3 linked regions of the Tamandua tetradactyla genome follow. Each later gene encodes a partner of the first gene's protein in a complex. Links are inferred from orthologs where the notes say so. Each region holds a gene or a part of one and is shown in the gene's direction. Other genes may lie near its edges.

Region 1 (7,052 bases):
GGGGAGTCCCTCGATCCTAGGAGATGGGAGTCAGTGGACTAAGCCTTAGCCTCCCTGTCCTCTAGTCAGAGGCTTCCCAGGGGAACTGAGCACCAATTGCTCATTTACACACTTTTTATTCATTTTCTCCCTCCTGCTTCACTTTATAACCTCCTTTACTTGTGCTTTCTGGAATCACTTCCCAAATGAACTAGTTCCATCTAAATCATTGCCACAGGATCTGCTTTTGGGGGAACCCAAACTTAGATAAGCAACTTGTTAACTTTATGCTTCACAATAGATGATATTGGTAAACTGTTTTCTGATCCTGAGTAATTTTTTCAATCATATATATGTATCTATAAACTTTTTTCTTTCCTTACATCTTTAATATTTACTATTTGGCCATATTTATTCCAAATAAATAGGACACTTTTATAAAATGAATGCTTTTCTGATACATACTTACAGTAGATATGAGTTTTCATAGAACTGCTTTTATCAATTTAGTTGATGGTTCAATTCAGTAAAATCCATTCTGCAGGGAGTCATTACTACACACTCAAGGATAGATATCTCCTTGTCCAGCTTAAGGTTGGGGTAGAACTTAACATATTTATAAGACTATCTTCACAGTCAAGCACAGTGCCTTTCAGCTGAGCTTTTGATAATTATTGGTTTGCATCTAAGTTTTTAGGTGTATTCCTAACAAATATCTGGAATGTGGCTGTCAGGCATGAATAAGCAGCCCAGTTAGGAATAAAGCTGAAATCCTCTCATGAGAGCTGCAAGAACTAAAGAGCATATGCCTGCACCAAAAGCCATTCCATGTTCTTTTGACAGTGAGCCCAAGGAATATCTACAACTCAGGGCCAAAATTTTCCTTAGAAAATAATTTTTATTGGTCCTCACCCAGTGGATCAATGAGTGATGGGCTATAGAGTTTCAATTCCATAGAATATGTCCTCTATAATTGTAACCTGGAAAACTTTTAAGGCAAGCTTAACCAAATGCATACCTTGGATACTAAAATACTTGAATTAAGCACCTAAAAACATTTAGCTTTGAACAGTGTTACTTTCTGGAATGTTTAGTTTGTTAAGCTGCCGGGATGCAACATACCAGAAACATTATGACTTCTAAAAAGAGGAATTTATTAATTTGCAAGTTTACAGTTCTAAGGCATGAAAATGTTCAAATTAAGGCACCAACAAGAGGTTACCTTCTCTCAAGAAAGGCTGATGCCATTCGGAACACCTCTGTTAGCTGGGAAGGCATGTGGCTGGCTGGCATCTGCTGGGGTCTTTGGCTTCTGGACACCTCTGTCAGCTGGGAAGGCTCAGGGCTATGTCTACTAACCTTCTTTCCTGGGCTCTTCAATGGCTTCCCCGGGGGCATTTTCTTTCATCTCCAAAGGTCTCTGGCTGTGTGGGCTCTTGGGCTCTGTTGGCACTGAAGCTTTTTTCAAAATTGTTCCCTTTTAAAGGGCTCCAGTAAGCAACTCTACCTTGAACGAGTAGAGACGCATCTCCATGGAAACCATCTAATCAAAAGGTACCACCCACAATGGGGTGGGTCACATCTCCATGGAAATAATAAAAAAGATCCCATCCAGCAATATTGAATAAGGATGAAAGAATATGGCTTTTCTGGAACATGCAACAGTTTCAAACTTGCATCCCTTCCAAATAAGCTCTTTTTGAAATTAATATACATCCAAGGGAAAAGAATGCCCTTGGTAAATAAAAATGTTTAAAATTTCGGGACCTTCTACAAAACAAAAAACAAAAAACAAAAAACAATATAATTAGCTACCAGCTTCACTGGTCTCCTAAGGCTTCTTCCTAGAGCTTGCTTTTTGTAGAACTATTTTACTGAGTTAATTTGAATCTTACTTTTTTATCAGATTTATAAATGCCAGACCTAATTTAATAGAATAATTGTAATGAAGACATTCTAAATTATTTTTCCAATTCAACAGTAATGAGAGTACATAGGAATCTCAGTGAAAAATTACCCTTGCATTCATATCCTTCTATTGATAAAGACTCTTGGGGCATAAAACTTGATATAGTTTATATTAGTCAGGGTTTTTCAGAGAATCAGAGCCAACAGGATATATGTGTGTATGTGTGTGTTTTCTGTGTATACATATATACAGAAATTTATTTTAAGGAATTGGCTTATGCAATTGTGGGGAATGGCAAGTCTGAATTCTGCAGGATGGAGAAATTACAGTAAGAGTAATAACTGAAGTCTTGAGTTCAAATTTCTTAGGCGAAGCTGACAGACTGGAAATTCTGCAAGATTTGATGTTGGGTCTGAAATTTGTAGGGGAGGCTGGCAGGCAGGAAACTCAGAGAAGTTGAGGGTGTAGTCTTGAAGCAGAATTTCCTCTTTACTTTGGAACCCTCAGTTTACTTTTAATGCTTCCAAATGATTGGATGAGGCTCACCCACATTACCCAGGATAATCTCCTTTACTTAACGTCAGCTAGCACCATCTACAAAATACTTCATGGCAACATCTAAGCCAGTGTTTGATCAAACAGTTGGACACCATAACCTAATCAAGTTACATATAAAATTAACCACCATATAGCTGTTAGCTTCTCTAATGGTCTTCTGAAAGCCTAAAGGAAAGCAATATAGAAAACAGGTTAGGTCCATCAGTTCTGGAGCCAGATAGCTTGGATTTGAATCCATCTCTACCTCTTACTGCATGTGTGACCTCGGACAATGATTTCATTTCTGTAGGCTGCATTTCCTCTTCTGTAAAATGGGGATAATGAGAGTAATTTCATAAGGTTGTGTTAATGATTTCGTGACATAATACAATTAGAGCAGTTGACACAGTACTTGGCATTTAGTGAGCAAATGGTAGCTATTATCACCAAATATTAGTTACCTTCATAACCCAGAATTGATAATGTTATTGAATTATCTTATGTTTCTATTTGGAAAGCAAACTGGTTAAGAAAGCTGGAATATATGCAATTAATGATTGCACAGAAACACTCTCGATGAAAGCAGAAAAAGAGGAGGAAGAGTTAAGCCTCTTTACTTTCTAAAATAATAAAACTTTATATAATTTCTAGCTCTTCTCGCTAAATGTATTAATATGTGTGCCTGAAACACAGTACCCTTTCTATAAGCGATTGATAATATCATTTTAAACTATCGTGGAAGTAAAGGCAAAGAAAGAGGGAAAGCACTGACAACTCATGCAGATGAAATAAATGAAAGTAAATGTAGCAATGAAATCTCCTTACATACTGTCCTGTTTTTAAAAGAAGCTCTATTTCTTCTTCAGGATATAAATATGAGTTGTTTGAAAAAACTCGTTTATTACACTACGGTTTGAGGTCCGAATTCCTTAAGTTAGACCTGTACGTGTCCATAGACCTGTGTCTAATTGAGGCTCTTTTTACTCATATATAATCCAACTAAGTGCCTAATTTGAGCTGTTTACATTTTCCTTCGTAATAATCTACGTAGATCCGTTTTAGGTGTTATTTTCTTGACTTTCCTCTAACAGTGTTTGTAACGTCACCATTAATTTAAAGTGGAGTGATTCCAAGGTTTCTGGACTACGAACATTCTCTCCCCAAATGGCCCGTACGTACGTATATTTAGCCACCCTCCTTCCAGAATTTGGTGAGGTCACCAGCCGTCTTAACCAACCTTCCACTAGGGGGCACACGAAACCAAGCAGCATAGCGTTAAATTGCTGTTCACGTTTAAAAGGACTAGCAGCAGCGTTAGGAAAATCAATCCCTTCCTGAATTAGACCCATCTGGTTACATACTTAATTATAATTTATGTTCCCGTAATTATTGTATTGGAAGGTGGCGGTGGCGAAGAGAGACGAATGTCTCTTTTTCAGGACACCCCCTCTCCCCCGCCCTTGAAATCAAACTGGCAAAAATAAAAAGAGAATTCTGGGAAATATTTAATAATTGAAACATTCATGTTTAAAAATAAATAAATAAAACTTTATGAGTCCTCTAAGGAAGGGAGTGGGGCGGAGGAAGGGACAGAAGAGCGAAAAAAGTCAAGTGAGGCTCTTCCAACCAGATGGTGTCTGCTTAATAGACCCGGAGCAGAAGCGCAAATGGTTAACATATTGTGTAGAGGGAAACCGCACATGGCCGCGTGGGGGAAGGGAGGCCGCGCGAGCCTTCGTTGGTAAAACCACCTCCGCGAGTGAGACTGAATCCGGTCTTCTAGAGGTCAAAAGGACTTCTCGGGGCTGTCGCTTACTTAACAGCTGTCCAGGTAAGGACGTGCGCGCGCGCACACACATGCATAGGAGAATAATGGTGAGAATGGTCATTGAAGGGTGTCTAGATGGATGACTGTATCTAAATTCTCACATAAATGCACCTGTAAGTGGATCCACATGTGCAAAACCATATGCTCCAAGGCTTTACATTAACGGTTTATTCCTTGTGTCATTCGTGAAATTCTGGTGTGGGTTACATTTATATCATGCTCAAAGCCTGCGCAAAACCGCACGCAGCGTGTCCATTTGTCCGCGCGGCCCCGGCCCGTACCTAGAACAAGGCGAACCCATCTGTCGTGCGCAGCGGTGGCGGCTGGAACACGCCGAGGCGATGACAGGATGTAGAGCCGCTTGCAAACGGCATCTTCTTTTCTTCTTATTTCAGTGATGTCATTGGGCTACAGCAGCTGAGCGAGCAGGAGGAGGAGGAGGCGGAGGCGCCCCGGCTGCCGCCGCCGCCGCCGCCGCTGCAGGTTCATGTGCATATAATGAAAAGGCACTTGACAGTCTGCCAAAACGCACGCCAGGGAGAGGGAGCGAAACTGGACCTACTGGATTTCGCAAAGCCAATCGTCATCATCTGCATCTACATGGGGAAGGAGGAGGAGGAGGAGGAGGAGGTGGGATCAGAAGCTCCAGCCTCGGCTGCTCCAATGTGAAACCACGAGCAAAAAAGGGGGATCAGAAAAAGCAACGGAGAGCGAGCGAGGAGGGAAAGGTTGCTCCGTGTGCGGTATCCCCCCCCTTCCTTCCCCCTGCGGATTTCTCCTCCTCTTCGGGCAGCTATGAATTCCGCTGAACAGACCGTTACGTGGCTCATTACCTTGGGGGTGCTGGAGTCGCCCAAAAAAACCATCTCGGACCCAGAGGGCTTTTTGCAGTCGTCTCTCAAAGATGGGGTGGTCCTCTGCAGGCTGCTGGACCGCCTGCTCCCTGGGACCATAGAGAAAGTAAGTGCTATTTCAGCCCGCGCGCGGCCCCCGGCCCCCCCACCGCGCCCCCGCCTGGCCGCAGTCGCCGACCCCGGGGCGCCAGGCGGCACCCCACCCCTAGGCTTGACCCCTGCGCTCCGACGCCCACGCGCCCGCCTCCTGCCTGCGTGGTCCCGGGCACAAAGCTCAGGACCCCTGGGCCCCGGCCGCTGAGGCCCGAGATGGGCAGACGAGTGCCGGGACGCGGGAACCGCCTTGCGCCTTGGCACCTGGTTGACCCGCGCGGCAGTACCAGCCGCCCACCTCTGCCCAGAGGAAAAGGTGACGCGCAGGCAGGAAGCCTACGCACTTTCCTTTGTGCGCGGATCCCCCCTGGAAGTCCGGTTCGCGCCGGGAAAGCGCGGACGCATCTCCGCCGCGCACGGCGCTCCCCGCCCGACCGACCGTGAGGACCCGAGTAGCGGGAGCTCGGAGGGCGCCATTGTGTGCAGAGTGTGGAGTGGCGGGCCCGAGCCGGGCGGGGGGCTCCGTGGCCGCGCGCGGGGGGTGGGCGGGAGCCTGGGGCCGCTGCAAAGGGGACGGATCCCGCAGGCGGGCGCAGCCCCAGTGTCTTCTCCCGGTCCGATTTCGAAGGTTAGAACAGTTCTCTACACAAGAAGAAATCGGATTTTCTGTTCCGTTCTAATATTAAGTTGCTCCTCGGGTGTCGTGAGGTCTGTCTGCTCAGATCCCTTACAGTGACCTAATCAGAAAAGCTCGTTCCAACACCATGCACAGTTTTCTCCGATGGCTTTGTTTGGATAATTTTTCGTTGGTGGGGATATTGCAGTAGTTTCATCATTTTTCTGTTTAATTGACCAATTCCTATGCATTTTTTGAAGGTACATTCGTCAATAGCTGAGAGCTGAGCTGTGAAATGATTTACTACTTTCCCAAAGAAAGAATTCCTCATGTATTCCAATCCATGTGGATTGCAATCACTTAAGTTAAAAAGCCCTGGCATTCTTCAGAATTTGTTCAAAATACAAGATTTTATTTTCAGATTTCTACCTGATTCTGAACAGATCCAGAGTCCTGGAGTATTGCTTCTCCCTACTCCTGTCTAGTGGTTTCCCTAGGGATAAAGTGTGAACCTTGACCTGTATTTCTGTGAGTGATTAAAGTTTGTTTTCATCTCTACAAGCTGACAAAGCATGGGTGAGGGGATATGAAATCTTTTAAAAACTATATATCCTGCTATTTAAAAAATACTACAATTTTATTCCAAAATTTTTTTTGCCAGGGTATAATTTAAGATGAATCTTTTTAGAGATTATTTTTAAAATATTAAGTATGGAAGTTGGAGCGCACTATAATTTGGAGGAACAATTTCATTTTTTGTGGAGTTTTTAGCCCCTACAAACCAAGACAATTTTTTTTCCAAAGACGATTTTTAATAATAAAAAAGTTAATAAAATGACTTGAAAAAGTAAAACGTTTATCCTCATTCATAAATTTGCATATGTTCTGGGATTACATTTTGAAGGCCAGAAAAATTTTATTTAGCATAATAATTTTAGATGCTTTTCTTACGGGTAACATATTTGTGAACACAGAATGTGCACTTTAGAGTTAATACCTGCCTGCTTGTCCATGAAATAAAAATGTTGCTTCTAGATGAATCTGATGTCACGATAAAATTATGATTTAAAATGAGAATTACAAGCAGGATCTATGATTTTTTTTTTTTTTCGCATGGGCAGGCACCGGGAATCGAACCCCGGTCTCTGCATGCAACAAGCAGGATCTAATTTTCAGGGCTCTCAAAATACTTTGTTGTCATCTGAATATCAGTATTTCTGGTAATAAAAGTCAGAG
Region 2 (7,622 bases), on another chromosome or scaffold:
GAGGCTGGGAGAGGGCCTGCTGGAGGTCGCCAGTATGGCGGCAGCTAGCCAAGGTTTCCTTCTGGCTCCAACCAGGAGCTGCGCATCTGCCCTCGGTCGCCGGAAACCCAGGAGGTGCCTTCGGTTTTCCAAGAAAGCCTGGTACTCGAGGGCAGTATGACCTTGGGCAGATCCTGGGGACCCCTCGCCAGGGCCTGGAGGCCTTACGAAATCATTCCCAGCCCTGAAAGGCTTGTAAACTGTAGAGGGCTGGGTGGCCTCTCTTGCAGCTGGCACCAGTGTGGGCAGCTGTTGTCTCCCAGAGCCCAGCTGCTTACCACCTGGGCCAGTGGTATGCATTGAGCACGAGGCCTCCCGGGTCTGGGCACCCCTGAGGGGCAGCGGCACCTGCTCTAGCTCATACTGGGGTACCCCAGAGAGCCCACAGCTGGTGGTGCACCCAGAGGCTGCTGGAACTCCCCTGTGCAGGCTGGTGGCCCTGAGGGGCGGTGGTGGGGCTGGGAAGGAGGCAGCCTGAGCCATGCGGATGCTCACCTGCTGTCCTTTGGGACCCGTCCTGTCTCTGTAGACACAGGCATGAGTGGGCTGTCTGCACACACCTAGCTTTGTGTGTGTGTGCTTGCACATGTCTGTGCAAGCCGTGAGGAGATGGCTGGGTGCGTCTGAGTGTGCACGATGAACAAGGATATGCAAATGTGGGTGTGCCCAGCTGTACACATTAGTAGGTAAGCAAAGACTCTGAGGCCAGCCTACCTGTCCCCGGTCCTTGGCACCACCTCTTTGGGGCTGTGTGACCTTGGGCAAGTTACTTAGCCTCTCTGTGCCTTGGTAACCCTCCCCTCCCCACTGTTAAACGAGGATGAAAAAATTTCCTAATCCAGCGGGGTTGGGTGTGAGAGGAGGAGTTAACCAACCTTGAGCAGAGCTTGGCACCAAGGAAGCGCTAAATAAATGTCACAATAATTATCGCAAAAGGGGACTGGACATAGTGTTGTTGCCTCAGTGGGTGTGTTGTACTGACAAGTGACCAGGGAGCAAATACATCAGGAGCACGTGCACATACCTCCCCACAGCTGTGTGTCTGTGTGCTGGAGAACGGGGCTTACACACGTGGGCATGTTCTGGCGCTCAGCTGTGATACCTACCTGTCCTGGCTGGGTGTGTTTGAAGCAAGGTGCACCGAGGCCCATAGTGTCTGGGTGTGCATACCCTAGACAGCATGTATATGTGGGGTGGTGTGTGCATGGTGGCCACTCTGCGGGTGTCAGCTCGCACCTCCACACGCCTGTGTCTCATGGGAAAGCATGCTGGGTCAGGTGTGTCCACGTGCGCCCCTGTCATGGGGGAAGTGTGGGGGGCGCCTTTAAGGGGCCAGGAATCTATAATCACACAGTCCAATAATCTGGGGGTGCAGCGTCCAGCAACAGATACGTACTGTGCCCTGCTGTGTACAGAGGGGGTGGGGAGCCTCTGGGAGGGGGGCCTCCTGGGGTCCGCGTTTGGGCACCCCTGGAGCGAAGGGCCCTTTCGTCGGGTACAGGGGGGCAAGCAGGGGTGGAGTCAGGATTTGGGGACCCGGCGGCGGCAGCGAGGAGTGCTGGGGGGAGGGCGAGGGGAGGGGGCGGAGCCGGCGCTGGGGGGGGGGGGGGGGGATGGGCGAGGTTTGGGGGCGCGGGGAGGGGCGAAGTCTCCTCTGCCGGCTCCCGGAGGGAGGGGAGAGGGCGGAGGGAGGGGAGAGGGCGGAGGGAGGGGAGAGAGAGAAGGAGGGAGAGAGAGAGACAGGGTGAGGGAGAGACAGCTAGAGCGAGAGCGCGAGAAGGGAGGCAGAGGAGGCGCGGAGCGGGTGGCGGCGGCGGCCCGGGGAAGCGGCGGAGGAAGAGCAGAAGGAGACGCGGCGCCCGGGGCCGGCCGGACCGAGCCGGGGGCGGGCAAGGAGGGGCGCGGCGGCCGCGGCGGCAGGGGGGCCCTCTGCGGATGGCCAGGCCCGGCCCGCGGCGGGGGTGAGGTCCTCGGCACCCCCGCCCTCCCCCCGGCCTCCGCCCGCCCCCTCCCCGGGCCCGCTCGCCCTCCGGGGCGGTGGGGCATGGCCTGAGGGTCCCCCCCCGTCTCCGGGGGGGTGGGGGGAGGGGGGAGGGGGGAGGGGCCGCGGGCGCCGCCGACCGGGACTCAGCAGCCCCGCCAGGCAGGTAAGGGGCCCGGGAATCCGGGGGTTCGGGGGATCCGCGGGGCCGGGGCTGCGGGAGGGGGCGGGGGCGCCCCGGATGTCCTTGGCCGCGCGCCGGGCTCGGGGCCCAGGTTGGGAGGGGGGCGGGTTGAGGAGGGGAGCGTCACCCGGGGCAACGCCAAATTGGGTTACGCCCCGGTCCCCGGTGTCCCGTCCCAGATCAGTCTTGGTGGGAGGGGGACGCCCCCCAGCCCCCGCCAGCAGAACCCCGGGCCCGAACCCGCCTTCCGGCCCTACCCGGCCACTCCCCCACCTCGCCCACCCTGGCCCGCCGGAGCCCCTTGCCCCCTTTGGCAGCCCTTCTGCTCGCGGTCCCTCCCCCAGGTCACCCAGGTTCCCACCGCCCTGTGGGGGGGTCTAGGCTTTGGCCGCCTCCGCCCCCTTCGACCCCTTGCTTCTCCTTCCAGGCTCCTCCAATCCCCTCCCAACCCTTTCCCAAGCTCCCCCCACCCCACCCTGTCTCTTTTTCCTTCTGCACCGGCCGCCGCGCCCCCTCGGCTCCCGCCCCCGAGTCGCGCTCCCGGGTGCCCCCCGCCCCCTCTCCCGGGTCCGGGGCTCTGCCCCACCAGCTTCTTGGCCCCAACCCCAGCTCCCTCTCCCGCCTCCCCGCGCCTCTCTCCGCCTCCATTCATTCTCCGGGGCTCCGCTCGCGGCCACGCCGGTCGACCCCGTCCCCCCGCAGCCTCGCAGGGCACCCCCTCTCTCCCCTTTTCTACCACCCCCCCCCCGCCGATTCCTCAGCCAGTCTCAGTACCAGCTGCGTGCCAGCTATTCTTAGCCGTGGAGCGTTTGATTCATGCCGCCCCGGCGGAGTGTGCCCGCTCCCTCCCTCGGGGCCTGAGGGGGAGGGGCCCGAGCTGGGCCGGGGGCGGGGGGGGGGCAGCCGCGCGTGCTGGGGACCCCGGTCGGCTTTTCTTCCTTGCCGCTGGTCACCCCAGCAGTGCCCAGTTGAGGCTGGAGGTCAGCCAGGGTCAGCGGAGGGGGAGTGGCTTCAGGCCCCAGGTCCTAAGGTGGGACGTGGGGTGGGGCCAGGAGGGGGTGTCAGAAGGCGGCCGGGGTTCCAGTAGAGGCCAGGTGGGGCGGCGCCGCGGGGGACCTGGAGCAGGAGGGGGGTGCGGCGACCCGGCCTCGCGTGGGGGAGGGGCCCGTGGCCCCTGGCTGGATGCTTGGCCCGCAGCTCTTGGAACTCTCCTCCCCCCAACACACACACACACACACACACACACACACACACACACACGTTTTTGCCTTCCCTCCCCCAACCCCCCAGCCCATCCCCACTCCCCCAAAGTCAGCAGTACCCTCCACTGCTTCCCATTTCCATGGCAACCGTGCAGGAGCCGGGCCTGGCGTGGGGGGGAGGGACCAGACCAGACATTCTGGTTTCCGGTGCTGGGGTGGGAGTGGGGGAGGCCATGGGGGAGGCAGGCCTCATTTGGGCCACCTCAGGGGAGAACAGTGGGGGTCTGGAGGTGACCTGGTGACCTCCCAGCTGGTCCCCTTTCTCTCACCCCAAGGCCTCTAGGAGTGGAGGCACCAGTGCCTGAAACACACCCATGGGGCACATCCTGAGCCCACCCCAGGCCTCCACCCAGACAGGCCCCCGCCACCCACGTGCCATCCCAAGATGCACCCCCAACAGCCTACACTGGCCGCCTTTCCCACCTCCCTCAGGGACAGCATTCCTGGGTGCTGCCTGCTCCCCTGGGACGCCGGCTTCCCAGCCACGCTGCTCTGCCTGGGCTGCCAGCCGCACGCGGTGGAGTCTAGTCCCACCCGCTCCCGGGCACCTCCCACTCTCCCTCACTACACCCCGGCCTCAGTCACCCCCCAACCCCCCCACACCCGCTCTCTGGGAGGAGGGAAGGGCCTTGGGTGAGGGGCCAGCCAGGGGCCAGGAGGGCGCAATGCCGGTGGGCGCGTCCACCTGTCTGTCCTCGGCTAATTTTAGCTGCCTTTCTGTGGCCTTCCAAAGTGGGCCAGTAGCTCCCGCGGTGATTCTGCGGTTTCTGGGACACAGCGACGCTGGGTCAGCGGCAAAGTGGGGCGCAGGGGGGGTGGGGGGCTGCAAGGGGGGCCAAGGACAGGGAAGGAGACCTGCTGGAAGCGTGGCGGGGCCTGGGGGGGTGCATGCGGGAGCGCGCGGGGAGGCGGCGCGAGCGGCCGGGGGTGTGGTGTGCCCGCCTCAGCCCGCCTCCCCCTGCCCCTTAGCTGCCCGTGGCCTCCAGTGGCCTCTCAGGGGTTCCCCGGCTCCGGGTCTGACGTCCCTGCTTGGCCTCCGCAGCCGCCTGTAATGCTGCCGTCCCCCGTCGCCCCGTGGCCCCACGATGCCCCACAGCCCCGCGTCGAGCGAGGACGAAGACCACCGCAGTGCCAGCGAGTGCCCCGAGGAGGGCTCGGAGTCCGAAAGCTCCCCAGACGGACCCGGGCGAGGCCCCCGGGGGACCCGGGGCAGCGGGCCGCCTGGTAGTCTGGCCTCGGTCCGAGGCCTCCAGGGCCGCTCCATGTCTGTCCCGGACGACGCCCACTTCAGCATGATGGTCTTCAGGATTGGCATCCCCGACCTGCACCAGACGGTTTGTGGCCAGCGGGGGCGGGCAGCGGGCGGGCAGGGGGCGGGCAGGGGCCTGAGCACACTGGGGGCGCCTCTGCGGCAGGGTGTTCCCCCTGGGACGCCCCCATTCCCAGAAACCCCCCCCCACTCCCTCTGCCCCTCCTGTCCTCAGAATGCCCCCCCCAGCACTCACCCCAGGCTCCTCCCCGGCCCCTGACCCCATGCTCCCCACTCCCACCCCCCCCAGAAATGTCTGCGCTTCAACCCCGACGCCACCATCTGGACAGCCAAGCAGCAGATCTTGTGCGCCCTGAGTGAGAGCCTGCACGACGTGCTCAACTACGGCCTGTTCCAGCCTGCCACCTCCGGCCGCGACGCCAACTTCCTGGAAGAGGAGCGGCTGCTGCGCGAGTACCCCCAGTCCTTCGAGAAAGGGGTGCCCTACCTGGAGGTGAGGCCCACAGCCGGTTCAGAAAGAAAAGGGGAGCCCCCCACCTCCCCAGCACACCCTCCCCCCTCCCTCCCAGCCAACTCCAGCCAACCCCAGCCAAAAGTTTCTTAACAGGGGGCTATTTCGGGGCTCAGGTTGCCCCAGAGCCAGGGGAGAGGAGAAGACGCCTGAATTCAAATCTAGCTCTCATCTGCCTCCAATTGGCTGAGTACCTTGAGCCATATGCCCCCTCTCTCTCCCCTGAAGCTTCTCCTGGCCCAGTTACAGAGATGGGGCAGGCACAGAAGGATTAGGCACATAGAGGTGCTCTAGAACATTCTCTCGAAGGTCCAGGCTCCCACTTTGAGGGAGGGGCTGTCACTTACCTGCGCGACCACAGCCCAGCCCTCTGGGAAAAGCCGGCCGGCATCTCTGCCCACCCAGCAAAGGCGCCATGCCTCGTCCCACCTCACCCCTGGGCTGACCCCTGGCTCAGAAGGGGATGGAGGCGGGGGAGGGACAGACCCTACCCCCCCCATCTCCTCCCCAGGCCCCTGATTCTGAGTTCTGTGTCTCTCCTCCCCCCCCCCACCTTCCCCGGGCCTCAGTTCCGATACAAGACCCGAGTTTACAAGCAGACCAACCTGGATGAGAAACAGCTGGCCAAGTTGCACACGAAGGTGAGCCCCCCGCTGCATGTCCCCTCGGAGCCCCCCTCCAACAGCCCTCCTTATCCCCAGCCTTCTATTCCTCCGACAGGTTCCCCTCCTTGACGTGGGGTGCCACATGCTGTTCGGGACTGGCCCACATGACATAACCCCTTCTGACTCCCCTCTTTGGCGCCCACCACTTCTTTGCCACACACTATTTCTACCTGGCTCCCATTTCCCTTGTCTTTCAACTCCCCTTTCTCATCCTGAGCCCCCAGGCTCCTCCCAGAGTCCCTGCACCCCTGACATCCAGTTGCCCTCTGCCCGGGGAGTGTTTTAAGAGCCCTGCAGCTCCCCCATTCCATCACCTAAAACTCTGCCAAAGCCAAGCACCCCCCCCACCCCACCCCCAGCCATGCCCACCCACCCCCTCGCTGTCCTATCTGCAGACCAGGTCCCTGCTCTCCTAAGAGAAGGTGGGCAGCGGGGGGCTGCTTGCATAAGAAGTGAAGAGAGAGAACCTGGATATGTGGGAAAAGAGGCCCCTGGATCTTCACCCGTAGCCCCCCGCCGTACCCCACACCTGACTCTTTCCTCTCCTGAGGGTCCCCTGGGCTCCAGGCCTGCACAGGCCAGGGCAGCGAGCTCTTGCAGGCAGGGGAACAAGTCCAAACTGAGACGTATCATGAGCATCAGATTCACACTGGAGTTTATTGACGTGGGATGAAAAACACGTACAACGTCTCGTGAATAATTTTGATATCGATTGCCCTATGGAAATGGTACTAGTTGACCTCTGTTGGGTTCGATAACGTTTCATCGAAATTAATGTCAGTAAAATGGAACATTTTCCTTACGGTGGCTGCTAGAGCAGCTTCAGCGGCCCAGGAGGCTTACCGCGAGGGCTCCCCGAGGCCCCTCCTACTCTTCTCCCTTTGGCCCCCTGACCCTCTCCTTTTGTCCGTCACTCAGACGGGGTTGAAGAAGTTTCTGGAGTACGTGCAGCTCGGGACGTCCGACAAGGTGGCCCGGCTTCTGGACAAAGGCCTCGACCCCAACTATCACGACTCGGATTCGGGAGGTGGGTAGGGGGGCCATGGGATGGGGGGGCGGAGGGAGAGGCTGGGGGTGCAGAGGTTGGGGAGTGCACAACCCCGGAGCCAAGAACCTGGGGTCTGGGAAAGCAGGAGGGGTGGGCACTGAGGCACGGGGGCTGCAGGCAATCACATCCCCCTCCTCCCGTCACCCCTCCCCCTAGAGACCCCGCTGACGCTGGCGGCCCAGACCGAAGGCTCCGTGGAGGTGATTCGAACCCTGTGCCTGGGCGGGGCGCACATCGACTTCCGCGCCCGGGACGGCATGACGGCCCTGCACAAGGCTGCCTGCGCCCGCCACTGCCTGGCTCTCACGGTGAGGCTGCCAGACCCCAAGACCCTGCCAGCCCGGAGATGTGGGCTCAGAGACCCTCCCCCCAAATACTGCGTTTCCCTTAGAGACCAACTGGGTGAGCTGCCCCAGACCCTGCCTTCTGCCCTCCCTGTCCTCTAGCTTTGTCTCCCACACGCCCCCTCCCAGAAACCCGGGGAGATGCCCTTCCTTTCCCTTCCTTGAACCACACCCCTTCTCGGTTTTTCTCTCCCCCTTTTACCTTTTGTTCTTTCTCACACCTAAGTTCTTTCTTTTTGGTGGAAAGCAGCCACTCTTCACCTCTCCAGGGCAGCCCTTCTCCGCACCTGCCCTAATGTACACCCCTCCTGGCCCTCC
Region 3 (8,002 bases), on another chromosome or scaffold:
ATTTCTTGAAATAGTTGTCTATACTGCTTTTCTCTACTACCTTACCTCCTATTCAGTTTATCACCTTACCTTACCCCCAGGTCCTCTAGATTGCAGAACCTGGAATTAGGATTAAAGTGCTGGTTCTTTTGGGGGGAGGTGCAAGTGAGGAGAGTAAAAGTGAGGGACAGGCAAGTCAGGCAATACAGTGTGATGTGCTACCATGCTGGGCAATGCTTCCAGTGAGCCAAGATGAAAAACAGCAGGTGACTTAGCAGATAAGTCAAATGGGAGTTCCCCTGCATGGCTATAAGGAGGAATCACACCATAGAACAGTCTGTGGAAAGGAGAAATTAGGGGAATGCACCTGCCTGGTCCTCTTCTGTCGCCCATTTCCCATTTGTCAAGGTCCATAGGAAGATAACTCCCCTGTACTTCTGTGTAACGTCTATTGTGCATCATCTGGCCTCTCAATGGCAGTTCAGGAAGCAAGATTTCACACCCTGTGTTACAGCATTTAATCCGTCTGATAGCAGAGGGACAATTCAGCGCAGACGTGTGTGTGTGTGTGTGTGTGTGTGTGTGTGTGTGTGTGCGCACACGCACAGGCCTGGGGCTTCAGTTTCGACTCCAACCAACTGAAGGTACTTGGCAGAGGCAGCAGCAGTCCTATGGGTGAGCGTGACTTTGGATAGAAAGGAGCATTCAAGGCAATCTGAAAAGAAACGCAAGGTTATGCTCGATACACAGCATAATCAGATTTCCCCCTCACTTTTCACCTTCACTGAAATTGATTTTGCAAAGGTCATCAATGGGGTCTTGACAAATCCTGAAAGTATTATCTAGTTCTTGTCTGACTGAACAACTCTGTTCCATTTGAGATTATTGACCACTTCCTCCCTGAAATTCTATCATCCTCTTGTTTTCCTGGTGAACAGAATAGGTTTTCTTCCTACCTCATTGGCTCTGTCTTCTCAGGGTTTTCTTCCTTCTCCCATGTCTTAGAATTGGATATTCTCTGTGGTTCCATTTTCAGCCTTCATTTTATAGTATCACTCTCCACGCTTAGCTGTCTGTCTCCAAGCACTGATAGTTACCGAATCAATATCTGCAGCTCAAATCTCTCTGCTCCAGACCCACATGTATAACCAACTCAGGACATCAAACCCTAAATTGAGCTCATCCTCTATTCTTAACTCCAACACTCACTAGAACTTCTTTTCTTCCTATATCCCTGTCTTGGTAAATGTCTCCTAACCAAGAACCTGGGACCTCTCTTGAATTTCTTTTTTTTTCTTTGTCTCTCAAATATAGTGAGCCACTACCTCTCATAGATATTTCCTCTTAAATATCTCATAGAGCTAGACCTTTTCTCTATTTGCACTGCCATTGTTTCATTTCAGAACTGCAATTGCCTCCTAAATGTTCTTTCTGCATTTGACCTTGCCTTTCCTCAATCAATTTTCCAAACCGAACCCGCAGTTATATATTTTAAAACACAACTCACCATGACCAAATGGGGGTTTAATCTAAGAAAATAAGAATGTTCAATGTTTTATAAAAAATCTATTTATATATAATTTATGTCATCGATGTATCAAAGGAGAAAAAGCATATGATCATCTGAACAAAATGCTTAAAACATTTTGATAAAAATCAACATACACGTTTTATTTTTAAAGAAAAACACCTTAGTTAGCATGATAATGAATACTGATCTCAAACCAAACCACTGGCTTATATTATACTTAGCAGTAAAACATTAGAAACATTCCCATTAAGACTAGTAATTTGACTGGCATTATAGTTACTTAACGTTATTCTGGAAGTATTAATCAATGCAATAATGAGAGAAAGAAACAAGGTGTAAATATTTAATAGGGAAACAAAATTATTATTTGGAGATGATATGGTTGCTTGGAAAACTATTAGCATTAATAATAGAGTTAAGAAAGTTTGGCAATTGTAACAGAGATATTTAAAAATTAATTTTCTTATATACCAACAATAATCAGTAAAGAAATATAATGGAAGAAAGACATTATCACAACAATGAAAATAATCAAAACACCCAGCTATAAATTTAATGATAAACATGTGATTCTACAAAACTCTAAAGGGAGATTTGAATAAGGGTAGAAATGTATTACATGAATGTATTGGAAGATTTAATGTTGTAAGGGTATTAACTTTCCTCAAACCAAGTCTATAAATATAAAATTCCAATAAAACGTCTGGGGTTTTTTTCTTTCAGAATGCAAAAGATGCTATTTTAAAGTTTATTTAGAAAAATAAACAAATGAGAAAAATCATGTGCATTAATAGAAAGAACAGAACTAAAAATTCCTTTCTCTACCAGATATTAAAATGAACCCACAGGGGTGCGGGTGGTTCAGTGGTAGTTCAGTGGTAGACTGCTCACCTCCCATGAGGGAGACCTGGGTTCAACTCCCGGACCATGCACCAAAAAAAAAAAAAAAAAAAAAAAAAAAAGAGAAAACCTGCAGGATACAATAATTAAAACATTATGGCTTTCACAGGAGGCTACACTCCCGCTACACGCAGCCCCGTCTCTAGAGATCCTGGAGAAATTCCAGCACATTTTGCGTGTGCTCAGCACCCACATCTGCAGCGCGGAAAGACAGCCCTTGCCAGCACTGCCGTTAAGTAAGGGTGTGGGGCGAAGGTAAGCTCCTGCGGTGCTGAGGGAGGCAGGCATCGACCTCACCAAGAGGGCAGGAGAGCTCACCGAGGATGAGGTGGAAAGTGTGATCACCTTTATGCAGAATCCGCTTCTGCACGAGATCCTAGGCTGACAGAAGGACATCAAAGGTGGAAAACACAGCCAGGTCCTGGCCAACAGTCTGGCCAACAAGCTCCGTGAAGATCTAGAGCGACTGAAGAAGATTCGAGTCCGCGGAGGGCTGTGCCACTTCTGGGGCCTTCATGCCCAAGGCCAGCAACGGAGAACACTGGTCACCGTGGTTGTGCCGTGGGTGTGTCCAAGGAGAGATGAGTCTATAGGCCTTGCCTATTAATGAATTGTTTATACACCTGAAACAAAAACATTATGGTGCTAGCTCAAAAACAGAGAATTCAGAAAAATATCCAAGTATTTGTTAGAATTTAGTATATAAGGAAGCTTGTGATTCATCGCAGTGGGTAGAATGTTGGGCCATTACCTACCATCAAAACAAAGTTAAAGGGGGTGCCAGGGTAATTCAGTGGTAGAATTCTTGCCTGCCATGCGGGAGACCTGGGTTTGAGTCCCCGTCCATGCCTTTCCCCCAAACAAAAACAAACAAGCAAATAAACAATTGAAAACAAACAAACAAAAAATTCAACAAATGGTGCTGCAATAATGGGGTACTCACATGGAAAAATATTGAAATGTAACCCTAAGATAAATTGCAGGAAAAGATTAAAAATTTTAATGTAAGTAAATGAAAATTTTTGATATGAGTAGAAGAAAACATAGCTGAACATTTATAAAACCTTGGAATAAAGAAGGACTTCATAAACATGAAATTAAAGGATGAAGGCATAAAGGATGCTAGAGTTGGTTACATAAAAAAGTAAAACTTTTTGTAGCAAAAATTACCACACATTGAAAGACAAATGACATTCTAGGGAAGCATCCTGAACCAAAGGTCCATATCCATAGCTTTCAAAGACCTTTTTCAAATCAGTAAGAAAAACACAAATATCTAAAATGAAAAATGCACAATTGACAAGAAAAGGCATTTTACATAAGAAAAAAACCCAAGTGCTCAATACATATGAAAAAAGTTGAACTTCACTATTGGTCAAAGAAATGCAAATTAAAGGCACAAAAAAATAAGGACAAATATGTGCACTATTAGAAAGTGTTTGGAGATTGAGACACTTAAAAGCCTTTCTGGATGTATAAACTGATGCAGCCCTTCTAGAGGGTACGAAAACCGACTCCACTACTAGAAAATGTATACCGTGGAAATAAACACATACACACCTCTTGTGGCACTGTTTGTAACAATAAAAAATTGGAAACAACTTAAGTGTCCAAAAATAAAGTATGTAGCCATTTCAAAAGATGTAGCAGAATATTATTTAGGAACAAACATATTTAAGGAAGGATATTTAAAATACCAAAGCTGTAAAGTAAATGCAGCCAGTAGGATAAAAAACATTTATATGACAATATGACATGAGAGAATAAATTTCTGTTGTTTTAAGCCACCCAGTTTGTGGTTATTTGTTACAGCAGCTCTAGGAAACTAATATGGGGAGAAACTTTTGATTTAGTAGAATAACTTAGAATCTCTTTGTGGGTTGGAGTAAACGAGGGGAATGCTGAATTACTTTGTACAAAAGAGAGTGAGAATTGGGGATGGAAGCTTTGGGGTTTATAGCTAGAGAAGTCTGATTTTGGAGAATGAAAAAGAGAGGGAGGAAGGGAGCAAGAGAACCTGGGCAGCTGGTGTCACCGTGGAGGGACAGTCAATGAGAATTTTCCAATGATGGGAATGACTGATAGACTCTTAAAAGAACTGATGTCTATTCCTTAGTTTCAAGCTGTTCTTTGGGCTGTGCTACAATATAAGCCATCCTCTCTTGCCCCAAAACCTTTCTAAAGATAAACACATAGCCTTGTTTAGGAAATATATGGGGGAGAGAAAAGGTTGAGGAAATATCTAACAGGGTTGTATGGTATAGAAAAAAGGGTTGAGGTGCCCCACGAAGTGAAATTCAGGGTGGAGATCAAGGTGGAAACTCAAAGCTAAAGGGGATCAAAAGAAACATTACCCCATTGCCCCTGTGCAGTTTGAAGCTATTATGTACCCCAGAAAAGCCATGTCCTTTAATTCTCACTCAATAGTACTGGGTGGGATCTTTTTTATTGTTTCCATGGAGGTGTGACCCACCCAATTGTGAGCAGTAACTTTTTCTTAGATGGTTTCCATGGAGATGTGTCTCCACCCATTCTAGGTAGGGTTGCTTACTGGAGCCCTTTAAGAGGGAACCATTTTGGAAAAAGCTTTAGAACCAACAAAAGCCACCAGGACCAACATCTAAGACCCAACAGCCAGAGACCTCTGGAGATGCCAAAGGAAAATGCCCCACCCCACCCCCCACCAGGGGTGCTTATGAAACAAGAAGCCAGGAGATAAAGCTAGCAGATGTTGCCATATGCCTTTCCTGCTGAGAGAAAACCCAAACCTTATCAGCCTTCTCGACAAAGGTATATTTCCCTGGATGCCTTAGTTTGGACATTATTATAGCCTTGACTTAATTTGGACATTTTCAAAATCCATAGAACTGTAAACTTGCAATTTAGTAAATTCCCCTTATTAGAAGCTGTGCCATTTCTGGTGTATTGCACTCTAGCAGCACTTATAAACTAAAACACCCCCCCCCCCCCAAAAAAAAAGAGAATCCACAGAGATAGTGGTAGGGATCTGGGTTTCCTGTCATGCTTGGGAGAGTGGTTTGAATAGGATTTTTTCTATCTCAAAGGTCATGGAGATTCTAGAAGGTTGGATGCCCCTGTAAAATAGATGAGGGGAAGGGGATGAGGAAATTCAGAGAAAACTGGTTAGAAGGATACACAGCATACAAACTTACTTATGATGCTAAGTTTATAAGCAATTGCTATTTTCTTCATCTAAATTTTGATTATTTTATAATGAATCCATATTACTTGTATGATTTTTAAAAAATAAGAATGTACCAAGGAAGAAATATAAAACATAATCAGGCTCTGTCACTTCTTGCTTAAAACCTGTCGGGACATCCTAACTCTTTCAGCAGGGCAGACCAGGCTCTCAGCCCTGCTGCCTCCTCCAGCACAGCCACTCTGCCCTCTAAACCTTACTCTCCAGCCATGTAAAACCACGTGCAGTTCTCCGAAAGGGCCTATTCTTTCCTGCCTTCCTGCCTTTATATGGGTTTTCTCTTTTCTTGGGATGCCCTCTGAAAGGTTTAGGAGGCAAAAGGGTGAAAAAGAAGAAAAGTAGACCAGGAAATTTAAAGTGAGCGAGTTTATTTCTGCGCTCCCAGGCAGAGCTCACCGCATCCAAGATGGAGAGAGGTGAGTCCGCACATGGGCTTCAGTGCGGGCAGCTTTTAAGGATGGGGGTCAGATGACGTCCGGAAGGGGCAGTTCATTAGTTCCAGAAGTCAGGTTGGGAAGGGTGACACAGCCTCTGCAGCTCCAGCTGCAGTGCCTTTCCCCATTCCTCTGACCTAACATTCCAGCCTTTTTGTGATAATAGGGCGCCGAGATCTTTCTGGCTACTTCCTGCTGTAATGGGGTGGCGTGGGGTTATAGGCCGGAACCGTCATGGCCAGGGGAGTGGGGAGGCTGGCTGTAGGAATCTGGTGAGGAAGGCAGGTGATGATAATGATGCAGGAGCATTTGGTTGATTGCTACCCAGGATAGTTCCTTCATGCATCCCTGAAGGAAGTTGAGGAGGCAGGGAGCTAGGAGGAAAAAGAGACAGATTAGGATAACTGGTCCTAGTAGTGGGAGGAGCCATGTCACCAGAGGAGAAGAAAATCAGCTAAAGGCAGAGTTGGTTCCTTGTTTTCTGTGATAGAGATCGTCTCTTAGTTTGTTTAGGGTTTGAATATTTTGTTCCACCAGACCCGACTCATTGATGTAATAGCAGCATTCCTCTTGTAGGAATATACACGTTCCTCCTTTTTCGGCTGTCAGCAGGTCTAAGGCCCGTCGATTTTGAAGAGTTACCTGGGCTAGTGAGGTGAGTTGGCATTGTAGAGAGGAGAGGGATTCTGACGTTGATTCCAGGGCTACCTGTAGTCAAGTTTCAAAGTTTTGAGAGGTTAAAATATTGTGTCCCAATGCCCCTCCCGCTGTGGTTGAGGCTGCGACTGAAGCGGTTAGGCTGATGCCTACTAGGATAGGAAGAAAGGCAGCCCTTTTTGAGCGAGGAGAGGGCAGTAGCCAGGTTAGTTCGGACTCCCCATAGAGGGTCAATTGAGGAACAATAGTTACCAGGAAGCATGGCCCTGGGGCAGTGGAGTGAAGGCACTTGGTAAGAGTTCCATTACCCCAGAAATATTGTCCTTTGGGGGCATGGGTGGTGTTATGGATAGTGACGTTAGTCTGGCACTTGCTATGATGTTTTGTTTGATCTATGGTTATATGTGTGAGGTAGCAGGTTTTCAGGAGGTAGGGAAGGTTATCAGGCTCTGGTTCCCATAGGGGGATATTTTTTAGAGTGGTATGGCAGGAATCAGGGCTATGATTGTGTATTTGAGTGAGATTTATAGGGACGGCTCCCAATAGTGGCCTATTTAATGATGCACAGAGGAAACAGCAGGATACCTTAGGGAGTATTTGCATTTGGTTGAGGAATTGCAAGGTTTGTTGGAGGATTTGGGGCCATGTATGAGGGGTTGTGGAGGCAGAGCTTTGGGCAAGGTGGCTGGAGAGGCTTTGCTCAGCCTGCAAAATGCCCGTGGATACCCGGGTAAAAGTAGTATTAATGAGGACATATTTGTGGTGTATTTCAATGGTGCTTACAGGGTATCGGGACCAGCCACTGTAGTATAGCTTGCCTTGGATTCCTGCTACCCATCTTGTGTCCCAGGGATCTGCAATATTTATGTAAAATTGCTGGGAGCTAATGTAGAAGGTACCTTTATGAGCTGCCTCCACATAAGCATCATGTATTCTGCATGACCAATGGGGGCATCCCCCATATATATTGTCATAGTTGTTTTGGTTACAGCTTTCAGTTTGGGCATATGGAAAGCAGGCATATGGCCTCAGGCCCTTTTCAACTGATTTAGGATTTATGGGGATGGTTATAGGCTGACTACAACCTGTTAGAGGGCAGTCTCCTGTGCCAATCATATGAGTGGTCAATCTATCATTTTGGCTAAAGGTTTCCCTGATTTTGAACTTCCATACATAGGATGCGCCCTCAATGGGGGTTAGGAGAATGAGTAGCATGAGTGAGGTGGACCCGAGTGGGCCCCAGGGGGTGACAAGTGTAGCGGTCCTCCTCTTGTTTGT

What was found.
Region 2: the proteins of ARHGEF7 (region 1) and SHANK1 are in contact, whole or in part, in a crystal structure (PDB 3L4F), measured with the Rattus norvegicus proteins. The link is inferred for Tamandua tetradactyla from reciprocal best matches to the Homo sapiens genes ARHGEF7 and SHANK1. Residues at the interface, in XP_063131056.1 of Rattus norvegicus: Asp735, Ala737, Trp738, Asp739, Glu740, Thr741, Asn742, Leu743; in NP_113939.2 of Rattus norvegicus: Gly673, Phe674, Gly675, Phe676, Val677, Leu678, Arg679, Gly680, Ala681, Lys682, Phe696, Glu703, His735, Arg736, Val739, Ile742.
Region 3: the proteins of ARHGEF7 (region 1) and PAK1 are in contact, whole or in part, in an NMR structure (PDB 1ZSG), measured with the Homo sapiens proteins. The link is inferred for Tamandua tetradactyla from reciprocal best matches to the Homo sapiens genes ARHGEF7 and PAK1. Residues at the interface, in NP_001106983.1 of Homo sapiens: Lys192, Phe193, Phe195, Thr198, Asp201, Glu202, Glu217, Gly220, Trp221, Trp232, Pro234, Ser235, Asn236, Tyr237; in NP_001363202.1 of Homo sapiens: Thr185, Pro186, Pro188, Val189, Ile190, Ala191, Pro192, Arg193, Lys198, Arg203, Ser204.

Annotation. Positions count from the first base shown.
Region 1 is NC_135330.1:180,969,770-180,976,821, forward strand, and holds the start of ARHGEF7 (rho guanine nucleotide exchange factor 7), read left to right. Parts: upstream 1-4,016; 5' UTR 4,017-4,256; intron 4,257-4,534; exon of another isoform or gene 4,535-4,648; 5' UTR 4,649-5,048; coding exon 5,049-5,213; intron 5,214-7,052. UniProt on the Homo sapiens protein: Acts as a RAC1 guanine nucleotide exchange factor (GEF) and can induce membrane ruffling. Functions in cell migration, attachment and cell spreading. Promotes targeting of RAC1 to focal adhesions. May function as a positive regulator of apoptosis.
Region 2 is NC_135342.1:10,567,982-10,575,603, forward strand, and holds the start of SHANK1 (SH3 and multiple ankyrin repeat domains protein 1), read left to right. Parts: upstream 1-4,551; coding exon 4,552-4,800; intron 4,801-5,025; coding exon 5,026-5,229; intron 5,230-5,816; coding exon 5,817-5,888; intron 5,889-6,830; coding exon 6,831-6,939; intron 6,940-7,116; coding exon 7,117-7,268; intron 7,269-7,622. UniProt on the Homo sapiens protein: Seems to be an adapter protein in the postsynaptic density (PSD) of excitatory synapses that interconnects receptors of the postsynaptic membrane including NMDA-type and metabotropic glutamate receptors via complexes with GKAP/PSD-95 and Homer, respectively, and the actin-based cytoskeleton.
Region 3 is NC_135334.1:67,315,427-67,323,428, forward strand, and holds the start of PAK1 (serine/threonine-protein kinase PAK 1), read left to right. Parts: upstream 1-4,968; 5' UTR 4,969-5,200; intron 5,201-8,002. UniProt on the Homo sapiens protein: Protein kinase involved in intracellular signaling pathways downstream of integrins and receptor-type kinases that plays an important role in cytoskeleton dynamics, in cell adhesion, migration, proliferation, apoptosis, mitosis, and in vesicle-mediated transport processes.